2 linked regions of the Drosophila melanogaster genome follow. The gene in region 2 interacts genetically with the main gene of each other region. Each region holds a gene or a part of one and is shown on either strand. Other genes may lie near its edges.

Region 1 (4,567 bases), on a different chromosome or scaffold from region 2:
ACGAAAGAGCGCGTCTACCAGTAGCTCCAGAAACTGGGGGTTTCGTATCAAGTCGATGGGCGGTGGATCGGAACCGGAGTAGTTGCGAAACAGCACGGTGATATCGGCGGGATTCAGTGTATTGCGGGTGAGCATGGAAGTTAGGGCTTGACATGCTTGCGGATAGACTGCCGAACCATTCAGGGCCATTGTAATAGGCGTTACATTTTGATTGCTAAACAATGAAGCAAAAGAAAGGATTTATGTTATGACTAACTATGTGGAATCGTCAGTTATTTTCATACTTCTGCAGGGCGTATTTAATAATTTCCTGAGAGAGCCGCTTCATGTTGAACCCACCCTTCTGCTCCTGGCTGAGGACCTGGATGAGCACCTGGGAGTATACGTAAGTGTGCTGGCCATGGCAGACCATTCGTGCGCACTCCTGAATGGCACCGTGCACATCATCCGGATTGTTTAGAAATTTGACGATCGAGGTCTTTAGAACCCGCGAGAAAACCTCAATCTGCTGTGCCGCTGTCGAAATGGAAGTGATCTCGCTCTGGAAGCCCGCGTCCGAGATCAACTTGATTGTAAAGTTCAGCATTAGACAATCGGGATATTCTTCGGCCAGTCGGTAGATTAGCGAGCGCCACGTATAGTGGTCGATCATCTCGGTTAGCCAGTCGGGCGTCTCACCCTCCTCCGTGAATATGGTGTCCGCCTTCTTGGGATCGAAGGACTTAAGAATCATTTCCTTGAGATGATTCTCCACCATGGCCTGGACTTCGGTAACCTTGACGCCCGCCAGGATGAGCCATTCCGCAAGCAGGTTGGCCATCTGGGCCACCGCCTTGTAGTTCTCGGATAGCATCGATATAACCTCCTCCGGAGATCCGCCCGACTGAAAGTAGCGCTTCAGCTGCGTAAATATCCCCGGCTCCATGATGTAGTCCGGTGTGAGGAACTTCTCCAGGCATTCCTGTATCGTCTTCTGCGGATTGTCCTCAAGCGTTTCCTTCGATTGGGATGGGATAACATGATGTTTAGTTGTTATTTTTTATGGTTTATCTAGTAGCGTCATCAAATTGCCGGGATTGCCTGCCACGCCGTACACGCTCTATACTCAATTACCTCCGGATTGGTTTGTCCTTTGGCGCGGCCCTGCCAACCAGAGTCGTCGTATTCCACTTCCATTTTTTCTCAAAAACTTATTTACAATAACATAAAAATATTTTTCTTATTTTGATTAACTATGCATTTTTAGTGTGACTGTAAATTGTTAACCACGACGCGCACACCTACGCGGGTTATGCGCCGTTTACACTTAGCAAACTCTTCTGTTAATTTCATATTATGCAATGTAAATCTTAAATTTGAGGAGAAAAAGAAAATTGTCAATAAGTGTAAAACGCGGTAATGTAAACATATATTAACTAATTTTTTTTTAAATTAATATATGTAAAATCGCAGTTGGAACGTGGCTGTTATTCAAGAAAAAGAAGAAGAAGCTGCCAAACATATCGATAGCCACAAGTGCGGCGAATGCCGGCTTTCGTAAACAAAGGTCGCGTTTTTGCGAGTTTTAAATAAACTTGGCAAAATGTCGACACAACGGAAGGATATGTGGAAGTTGCTTTACAACCACGTAAACCGGAACGTAAGCAACTTTTCCGGCGTGTACAGCGTTATAGAAGACATATTGTGCCAGGAGCCGAGTCTGATAAGCTGTTCGTTGGTGCGGGAGCTGCACAACAAATTCCAGGACACATTCCTACTCTGGCTGCTCAACAAGCTGGCCAAGTGCCTTAGTGAATCTCCAGATAGCAGGTAAGATGAGCCACAAGCATTGGACTCCAAACTTATGACACACCGTTTTTCTGCTGCAGCGAGTGCATCAATCTTCAAAGGAAAATACTGAGCTCCTGCTGTTCCAATCATCCTAAGCTTTTTGAACGCCTTGTACTGGCCTATGTGGAAGCCATTGAGGAGACGCACCTTCAGCTAAGTTCCCTGGACCTCGGCCAATTGAGTAATGAGCGAAAACCCGCCATAACTGTAAGAATATTCCGATGCGATGTGGAATGCCTGCAGGAGTTCGATCCGCACTGCGCTATCGAGGACATCAAGGTGCCCCTTGAGCAAGCCGACATGTATGCCAAGAGCCTGCTGGAGGTCCTCCAGCATGCCCATCACATTGGATACGCCACGCACGGCGACATCTTCTCGGGCAGCCTTCATCAGGCTCTGCTAATCCTCAAGGAGTGCGACATGGACACAAAACTGGCCAGCTTGAATTACTGTCACAATGTCCTACGATCACAGTCGGCCAGCAGCTGGATAACAAATCCGGACGTTGGACATTATGCGCAATTAACGTTGGAGGCGACGGCAATCATGTGGTCGGCAGTAGCCAAGTGGCTGGACATGGGATGTATGACGCGCCAGGAGCTAAAACGGCTCAATATAACAACAAAGCTACTGCTAGAAGTTCTGCATATGCGTGCACGTCCAGCCCACCATCTTGGCTACCTGCTTTTGAACGAGATCCTTAGTTTGCCGACAGCCATTGAATTGGACGATGGACTGCTGGAGACCCTAAGTTCCTATATTCAAGGCCAGCTAGAGCATTCGGTTGTACCATTGGAGCAACTGGTGCACTTGCAGCAGCTTATGTTAAGCCATTGGCACTGCCACCCCACACATTTGGTGCCCATATTGGCGCTAATGGGCTTGAAACAGACTGAGATGCGCTCAGGAGTGGTCCAAGTGCTTACCCAAAGTCTCGTTGAAATCTTGAAGAAGGAAGAAGTATTGTCGAAGGATTGGCAGAAACTGATTGCTATTTTACGAGGCTTCAAGCAGCTGGAGAAACTAATTCTGTCACAGAGTCAGCATAAAATAGCTGAGCACGAAGGTCACATCGATTCCTCAGTTCTGGCCATGTTACCGCTGCAGTGTGAAATCATAAAGGTTGCGGATACCAATTGGAATAACCTTTCAATGCAGCTGGTTGAGCTGGAATCAAAGTGTTCCGCAGACCGAAGACACATACACTTGGAAATCTGCTCCCTTTTGATGCAAATCACCTTCATCCGGCACTTTTTAAAGACTCAAACGCAACACCAGCTGCTGGCCATTCTTCAGCGACATTTGAAGCTGTCCTACCTTTGCGCCATTCGCTTGGAGACACCTTCTAGTGTTCATACCCAAATGCAAAGCTTCTATGCCCAGCAGTACATGAGGCTATTTCAATCCGAGGAGACACAGGAGATATTCTGTAGCAACCTTCCGCAGTTGTACATATCGGGTTTCATAAAGCCGGAGCAACTGATGAAAGCTCTGCCCACCATTAACAATCGTAGTGGCCGCGCTCAAGTTATACGCCTATTGCTCTGCTCCCAGCCAGGTAAATTGAGTGTCTTTAAAGTCAAAGATCGCATTGAGCTATACTGCCCGAAATGCAGGCCACTGCCAAAGAAACTGCCAGGTATTTACCTCGGAAAATGCAAGCAACAGCTGCCATGTCCAGACTTTTCAAGCACCAACCTCGAAATGATAGCAAATGATTTATTGTTTTATCCCGATTTTGAATGTATTGCCCAGCATCTGGACCTTCTGTGCTTTGAACCCAATGTGATTCTTGGCCTGCTAAGAGAAACGGAGGCACTGCAAAAGGTTAGCGTTAAGGTTATCGGCCAGCTGGTCTCTGCGATGCGTGTGCGTTCGCCAGAATTCTTGGAGCAATTAGCCAATCTTGTTCTAGCTGCTATAAAAGCAATGCTAGCAAAGCCACTGACAGAGCAAAATGTGCTGCAGCAAAGAAGTATGCTCAACGTACTGACCGCCATTGCGCACATGGAGGATAATGAAATCTGGCTCTTTCACTGGTTCAAAATGACATTCTTCTTTCTGGTGCACACTCGCTCACTGGTGGCGCAAGAAGCTGTGCTGGCGGCCACCGAGATGTGTGCCAGCCAGGGTCTGCAGACGATTCATCTGTGGAACTGGTACAAGCGAGATGCTCTCGACCTCACCGTTCGCCTGGCTTTGAACGTTTATCTTTTGGATGGCGTACGCTTCACCCGATCCCTCCGAGCGGTGCGTAAATAGACGAACTTTTCTTCACTTCCCAAAATTTGACCGGTCTGTTTGCAGCTTACGAAAATGTTGGGATTCACGTGCGTTCAGGAGTTCACCTGCAAGTATCATCGCCTTCTGACTGCCATGGTCCTGCCGCATTGCATCGTGAATCCGCTTTGCAAGGGAGTTTTGGTATTGATAGCCAAACAAATGCAGAAACACATTGGCACCTTGTTCTCCATCTCGTTCCTGCGGATCTACACACACGTCTTCCTGACCGAGGAACCGGAGTTGGCCAATAGTTGCATCGAGCTGGTGGTCAGTTGCACCCAGTCCAGCCTGCAACAGCTAATGAATGCGGATGTCAAGGTGGGCAGAAGTTAATTTATATTTTATTATTTTATCTTTTATTTTATTTTATTTGATTTGGTTATCACTTGTAGCAAACGGTGGCCGAGTTGCTTATATATTTCAACCGAAACCCCACATTCGTGATGCGATCCTT
Region 2 (7,392 bases):
CAAGAAGGTCACCTTTAGTGCCTTTGCCACCGTGCAGGTGGTGTGAAGGGCGTGAACAGTGGGTCTAGCATCTGTTGCATCTGTGCAGGCACAGAGCAAGGTAATAACATTTACTTTTTGTTTTTTAAGTATTTTTAAGAATACTCCAGATCAAGATAATTCTTTGATACAAAATAAACTTTAGAAAAATATGAAATACATTTAAGCAAGCAATGTAATTATACTGGAATAAGAATTGCAACCCACTTTATATTCTGATTTAATATAGTTACATAATAACATAGTATAATATTAAACCAATTGTAAACTGAATTATTCATTGATTCTTTTTCTTCTCTTTTCATTTCAGTATCATCTTGCACTTGTTAACGATTATTTCTTGTTGTTTTTATATTTGTTGCTGTTGTTAAATGTTTAGCCAAAACTATGGAAACCATACACGGAGAAAAATTCCTTAAAACATAAAAAAAAAACATAATAAATTGTTGTGCCATGTCTGTGGCTTGAAATAAAAATGAAAACCATATAGAAATGAATAACACACCCCATAGCTAAAGAAAATACCTCAAGGATCCTAAATAACTGCCCTCCTTTATCTTATTTTATCTGCTTTGCTTAACTGCCCTCCTTTATCTTATTTTATCTGCTTTGCTGTACATTCTGGTAGACTGACATTTTAATATCCTTTCTATAGTTCCTCTCGATCACCCTATCCTAAAACAGTATTTTCCATATTTTCTCATCTTCCGAAATCTTTCCTCACCAACACACCCGAAAATAATTGTAAAATATAACGACTGCAAGTGCAGAAATTCTAAATATTTACTATTAAATTGTAAATATGTACGAATTTTTGCTTATAACAATTAAACAGCAAATATAGTCATAAATATATGTATTCATGTAATATGTAAGTCTGTTTTGTGTATGTGTGTATATATATAAACCATGATTTTGCATTGATAATTATATAGGGTATGAAATCACCTTTCAAATCCACACAAATTTTAATCGAAATTGCTGTATATTGTATTTAAAGTATAATATTATATATATCTTATAAGCCTAATATTATGCATGATAAATAAAATACGATTAAAACCAAACAAACTATTGTCTTTTAATTTGGGAATAAAAACATATGACAAGCACATTAAAAGGGGATCTTCATGGAGCAACTGCTAATGGAAAAGTTTTTCTTTTTGTGATCCACTGCAATTAAAAAGCTGAAGCTCGAAAATGTAAAATCTAAAAGAACGCCCTTTAAATGGTGATCATTGTTCTTTCTTACTTGGTGAATTCATTTCAATTATCAGGTCGGATTTCCCGCCAAAATATAGCAGTCATTTTAAATCGCTGTAACTGTTATGTTAACTATTCGTGTTAACTGTAATCGATCATTTGTGCTTACAGATTAGACGCTAACAGTGCCCAGAGCTAACATAACGCGCTGCCACCTATCGATATATTACCACTCAGAAATTCATAAAATAGAGATGTTACTTAATAATAAAATTGCAATTTGGGATTAAGTTATTGTATGGCTTTTATTTTTTTTAATTTCCTTACATTCTTCCTCTTCTTAACGACACTATCGATATTACATTGCAAAAGTCCGGCAGCGCTTTATGTATCGTAGCTCTGTTATCGATATGTTCCCGCCATTCCCGCTTTGATCATCCTCCAGCCCTGGTCACAAAACAATTTTTGCAAACTGCAGCACAACACGGGGAAATTATTATCAAAGTTAGCCAGTTGCAATGTCTGAATCACCGTGTAAGTTAATAAGATAACTCCCTTAAACATATTTTTTACCGAAATTATAAATTTCCAGCTGAACCGCGCGCTAAGCGCCAGAGAGTAGACAAAAATGGTAGGTTCGCCGCCATGGAGCGACTGCGTCAGCTGAAGGGAACCAAGAACAAATGCAAAGTGGAGGACCAGGTGGACGATGTATACGATGTGGTTGATGAGCGGGAGTACGCGAAGAGGGCGCAGGAAAAGTACGGTGACGATTGGATCGAAGAGGGTAAGTTGGAACTCTGAACTCTATACTTTATAATACTAAATTTTAACTTTTAGATGGTACTGGTTATGCAGAAGATCTTCGGGATTTCTTCGAGGACGAAGATGAGTACTCCGATGGGGAGGAGGATCGGAAGGACTCGAAGAAGAAGAAGGGTGTTGCCCCCAACAGCAAAAAGAGACCACGGGAGAATGAAAAACCAGTAACAGGAAAAGCATCCATCAAGAATCTATTCAGCAATGCAGTGCCCAAAAAGATGGATGTAAAGACCAGTGTGAAAGACGATGATATCCTTGCTGATATTTTGGGCGAAATAAAGGAAGAGCCTGCAGCGACGTCAGAAAAGGCGGAAAAGGTTATAGCCCCAGCGAAAATATCAGTTACGTCGCGTAAATTCGATGCCGCCGCTGCCAAGGAATACATGAATAGTTTTCTAAACAACATCAAAGTTCAGGAGCAGGAACGTAAGAAAGCGGAGGCCAGTAGCGATAACGAGATGCTGGAGCGCATTCTGAAGCCCAAGGCAGCAGTTCCAAACACAAAGGTGGCCTTTTTCTCCAGTCCTACAATCAAAAAAGAGCCCATGCCTGAAAAGACACCTGCAAAAAAAGCCACCGAAGATCCATTCTCCGACAATGAAATGGACTTTAGCTGTCTGGATGACGATGAAAACCAGTTTGATGTGGAGAAGACACAGCAGACCGAGAAGGTTTCCCAAACGAAAACAGCAGCTGAGAAAACATCCCAAAGCAAAGTCGCCGAAAAATCAGCTCCCAAAAAAGAAACAACTGGATCGCCAAAGGAATCGGAATCGGAGGACATTAGTAGGTTGCTGAACAATTGGGAGTCTATATGCCAAATGGACGATGATTTTGAAAAGTCCGTGCTCACCACGGAGCAGGATTCGACAATCTCCTCAGATCAACAGCTTCGGTTCTGGTACTGGGAGGCCTATGAGGATCCAGTAAAAATGCCCGGCGAAGTCTTCCTGTTCGGTCGGACCGCAGATGGAAAGTCCGTCTGTCTGCGTGTACAGAACATCAACCGTGTGCTCTATCTGCTGCCCCGACAATTTGTGAGTATTATTCTACAAATACTTAGTCCTTAGGTGAAGTGTTGTTTCTGAATATATTCTTTTAGCTCTTAGATCCCATTTCGAAGGAGCCCACCAAGCAGAAGGTGACCGTCGCAGACATATACAAGGAGTTCGACAGCGAGGTGGCAAACCAACTGAAGCTCGAGTTCTTTCGATCCCGCAAGGTCACCAAGAGTTTTGCCCATCACGCTATCGGTATTGAAGTTCCGCAATCTTGCGATTACTTGGAGGTTCACTACGATGGAAAGAAACCACTGCCCAATTTGTCGGCTGACAAGAAATACAATTCTATAGCACACATATTCGGCGCCACCACCAATGCACTCGAAAGATTCCTCTTAGATCGGAAAATCAAAGGTCCCTGTTGGCTGCAGGTGACTGGATTCAAGGTGAGCCCAACTCCCATGAGTTGGTGTAACACCGAGGTCACATTGACAGAGCCCAAGAATGTAGAGTTGGTGCAAGATAAGGGAAAGCCAGCGCCACCACCTCCACTTACGCTACTATCGCTTAATGTTCGCACCTCAATGAATCCGAAAACATCGAGAAACGAGATATGCATGATTTCCATGCTGACCCACAATCGTTTCCATATCGACCGCCCTGCTCCACAGCCCGCTTTCAATCGACATATGTGCGCTTTGACTCGCCCGGCGGTGGTTAGTTGGCCTTTAGATTTGAACTTTGAGATGGCAAAATATAAGTCTACCACAGTGCACAAACATGACTCAGAGAGAGCCCTGTTGAGTTGGTTCTTAGCTCAGTACCAGAAAATAGATGCAGATCTCATTGTAACCTTCGATTCCATGGATTGTCAACTAAATGTAATAACCGATCAAATTGTAGCCCTGAAGATTCCCCAATGGTCTCGAATGGGGCGACTGAGGCTGAGCCAATCGTTTGGCAAGCGATTGCTGGAACATTTCGTCGGCAGAATGGTTTGTGATGTAAAGCGATCTGCAGAGGAGTGTATAAGAGCAAGATCCTATGATCTGCAAACGCTATGCAAACAAGTACTGAAGCTTAAGGAATCGGAGAGAATGGAAGTGAATGCCGATGATCTGCTAGAGATGTATGAGAAAGGAGAAAGCATTACCAAGCTCATATCGCTCACCATGCAGGACAATTCATATTTACTAAGGCTGATGTGTGAGCTCAACATCATGCCGTTGGCGCTACAAATCACTAATATCTGCGGCAATACCATGACCAGGACCCTTCAAGGAGGTCGTTCTGAACGAAATGAGTTCTTGTTGCTGCATGCCTTCCACGAGAAGAATTACATAGTGCCGGACAAGAAGCCGGTTTCTAAACGAAGTGGTGCAGGAGATACGGATGCTACGCTTTCAGGTGCAGATGCGACGATGCAAACCAAAAAGAAGGCAGCCTATGCTGGTGGCTTAGTGTTGGAGCCCATGCGTGGTCTCTACGAGAAGTACGTTCTCCTCATGGACTTTAACTCCCTGTACCCCAGTATAATACAGGAGTACAACATATGCTTCACCACCGTCCAACAGCCGGTGGATGCAGATGAGTTGCCCACCCTACCCGACTCGAAAACGGAACCTGGAATCTTACCCCTTCAATTGAAACGCTTGGTGGAGTCGCGAAAAGAGGTGAAAAAGCTAATGGCAGCGCCTGATCTTTCGCCGGAACTCCAGATGCAGTACCACATTCGGCAGATGGCCCTGAAGCTAACTGCGAACTCCATGTATGGTTGCTTGGGTTTCGCCCACTCCCGGTTCTTTGCCCAGCACTTGGCTGCTTTGGTCACCCACAAGGGCAGAGAAATCCTCACGAACACACAACAACTCGTGCAAAAGATGAACTATGACGTTGTTTATGGAGACACAGATTCCCTGATGATAAATACCAACATAACCGACTACGACCAGGTCTACAAGATTGGTCACAATATTAAGCAGAGTGTAAATAAACTATACAAGCAGCTGGAATTGGATATCGATGGAGTATTTGGCTGTTTGCTCTTGCTGAAGAAAAAGAAGTATGCCGCTATCAAGTTGAGCAAGGATTCCAAGGGAAACCTGAGGCGTGAACAGGAGCACAAGGGCCTGGATATAGTACGTCGCGATTGGTCTCAGCTGGCTGTAATGGTGGGAAAAGCCGTTCTCGATGAAGTGCTGTCGGAAAAGCCTTTGGAGGAGAAACTGGATGCAGTGCATGCCCAACTGGAGAAGATCAAAACTCAAATTGCAGAGGGTGTAGTACCGCTGCCACTGTTTGTCATCACCAAACAGTTAACTCGGACTCCCCAGGAATATGCCAATAGTGCTTCATTGCCCCACGTCCAGGTGGCCCTTCGTATGAATCGCGAGCGTAATAGGCGGTACAAAAAGGGCGATATGGTGGACTATGTGATCTGTTTGGATGGGACAACAAATGCTGCCATGCAGCGAGCATACCATTTGGATGAGCTCAAGACCAGTGAGGATAAGAAGCTGCAGCTGGACACGAATTACTACCTGGGACACCAGATCCATCCGGTAGTCACGCGAATGGTGGAGGTGCTGGAGGGAACCGATGCGAGTCGCATCGCCGAGTGTCTGGGCATGGACCCAACCAAGTTCCGTCAGAATGCGCAGAGGTACTTACTATCTTATTACTCCTTACAAACTCTAACCTAACGAATATTTTGGTTATGTAGAACCCAGCGAGAGAACACCGAGCAGTCGGAGGGTGAGTCCCTGCTCAAGACGACTCTGCAGTTGTATCGCCTGTGCGAACCGTTCCGCTTCCAGTGCGTTACCTGTAAGACGGAGCAGCTGATGGCGTCTGCGTACCGACCGGGTCCAAGCAACTCCCACATAGCCGTACTCCAGCAATGCGCTAAGTCCGAGTGCCAAACGGCACCGATTCAGTACCTGGCAAGCGTGCGCAATCAGCTGCAGCTTTCCATGCGGCAGTATGTGCAACGGTTCTATAAAAATTGGCTGGTCTGCGATCACCCGGATTGCAACTTCAACACCCGCACACACTCCTTGAGGAAGAAATCCCACCGCCCGCTGTGCCAAAAGTGCAGGAGCGGCAGCCTGCTGCGTCAGTATACGGAGCGGGACCTGTACAATCAGCTGTGCTACCTGCGATTCATGTTCGACCTCGGCAAGCAAACGCTGCAGCAAAAACGTAAGTAAATACAATGTAGTTATAAGCAGTATCAAAAACTAAAACAATAGTTTGTGTATAAGAACAAAATGAAGAATGTGGAGTACGAGAGAGAAATATCGACACTAAATAACAAGACACATGAAAGGAAAAATCAGTCGAAATATTTTATAGTTCCCGTGATCTCGACGGATTTCAGTAGTTCTTTATGCTTGTATCCTTGAATTCTTAAAAATTGTTGTAGTTTATATATTAGTTCTGACACCTAATACATATATTTCCCTTAAGATTGGTATCATTAAGTTTTACAGCATTTCATATTGAAATTATATTTTGTCCATATTATCAAGCCACCCTCACACCGGAGCTGGAGCAGGCCTATCAACTCCTATACGAAACGGTGGATCAGCAGTTGCAGAGCTCCTCCTACGTGATCATCTCGCTAAGCAAGCTCTTTGCCCGATCCCTGGCTCAGATGTCCCTGCAACCGTCCGTGGCGCAGCCCCAGATCGAAGCAATTCCGAGTGCTTTGGCGGATGTGGTCTAAGTGTTTAATTAACTAGCCTTTGTTATAAGTTCCATTAAAAATACTACAAAAGAGATACAGAGATACAGTATGGTTAACTAGATGAGGTCACGTGGCGAGGAACTTCTCGAGCGGAAAGTGCCGGAAGGACTCGTTGAATATATCCGTAAATGCCGTGCTAACCAACTCGTTAATCATCGGCTTGATGAAGGGCAATCCCAGCTGCCACATGCTGTTGATGACTCCATCGGCCAGTTGGTTGAGGGGCTGTCCCTGCAGCAAGTTCTCAATGTGCAGCTCCATTCCGCCGATGCGGTCCACCTCCACATGGACCTTGATGAGTGAGCCCGGACCGCCGATGCGCCTAACGCTGGTGGTTTGACTGAGGAAGTAAATAAAGTGAGCGATAGGTTGTCATGTAAGCCAAAAGCTATCAACAATACTGGTGTTTGCAACACAGCTTGGGAAATACATATTTCCATGCAACTCGGTGCCCACCTGTAATCGTAGAGGGTGAGGTTCCAGTGGCCTTTTCTGTTCATCTCAGTACCCAGCATCTTGGCGGCGAACTCGTACTCGCCCTCCAGACTTTTGTCGGGGAAATACTGAGTGTAGACGATG

What was found. Genes that interact genetically often act in the same process or in processes that back each other up.
Region 1: of PolA1 (region 2) and mei-41, changing one enhances a phenotype caused by changing the other (phenotypic enhancement), as found in Drosophila melanogaster (one study listed by BioGRID).

The regions. Positions count from the first base shown.
Region 1 is NC_004354.4:16,390,179-16,394,745, forward strand, and holds the start of mei-41 (meiotic 41), read left to right. Parts: upstream 1-1,519; 5' UTR 1,520-1,582; coding exon 1,583-1,809; intron 1,810-1,868; coding exon 1,869-4,080; intron 4,081-4,137; coding exon 4,138-4,431; intron 4,432-4,505; coding exon 4,506-4,567. Other genes in the region: TH1, read right to left, coding at 1-214, 285-997, 1,114-1,176. UniProt on the Drosophila melanogaster protein: Serine/threonine protein kinase which activates checkpoint signaling upon genotoxic stresses such as ionizing radiation (IR), ultraviolet light (UV), or DNA replication stalling, thereby acting as a DNA damage sensor.
Region 2 is NT_033777.3:21,666,014-21,673,405, reverse strand, and holds PolA1 (DNA polymerase alpha subunit 1), read left to right. Parts: upstream 1-1,655; 5' UTR 1,656-1,760; coding exon 1,761-1,776; intron 1,777-1,834; coding exon 1,835-2,029; intron 2,030-2,082; coding exon 2,083-3,101; intron 3,102-3,166; coding exon 3,167-5,727; intron 5,728-5,787; coding exon 5,788-6,266; intron 6,267-6,595; coding exon 6,596-6,792; 3' UTR 6,793-6,844; downstream 6,845-7,392. Other genes in the region: CG31176 (uncharacterized protein), read left to right, coding at 1-46; Jhbp16 (juvenile hormone binding protein 16), read right to left, coding at 6,880-7,153, 7,270-7,392. UniProt on the Drosophila melanogaster protein: Catalytic subunit of the DNA polymerase alpha complex (also known as the alpha DNA polymerase-primase complex) which plays an essential role in the initiation of DNA synthesis.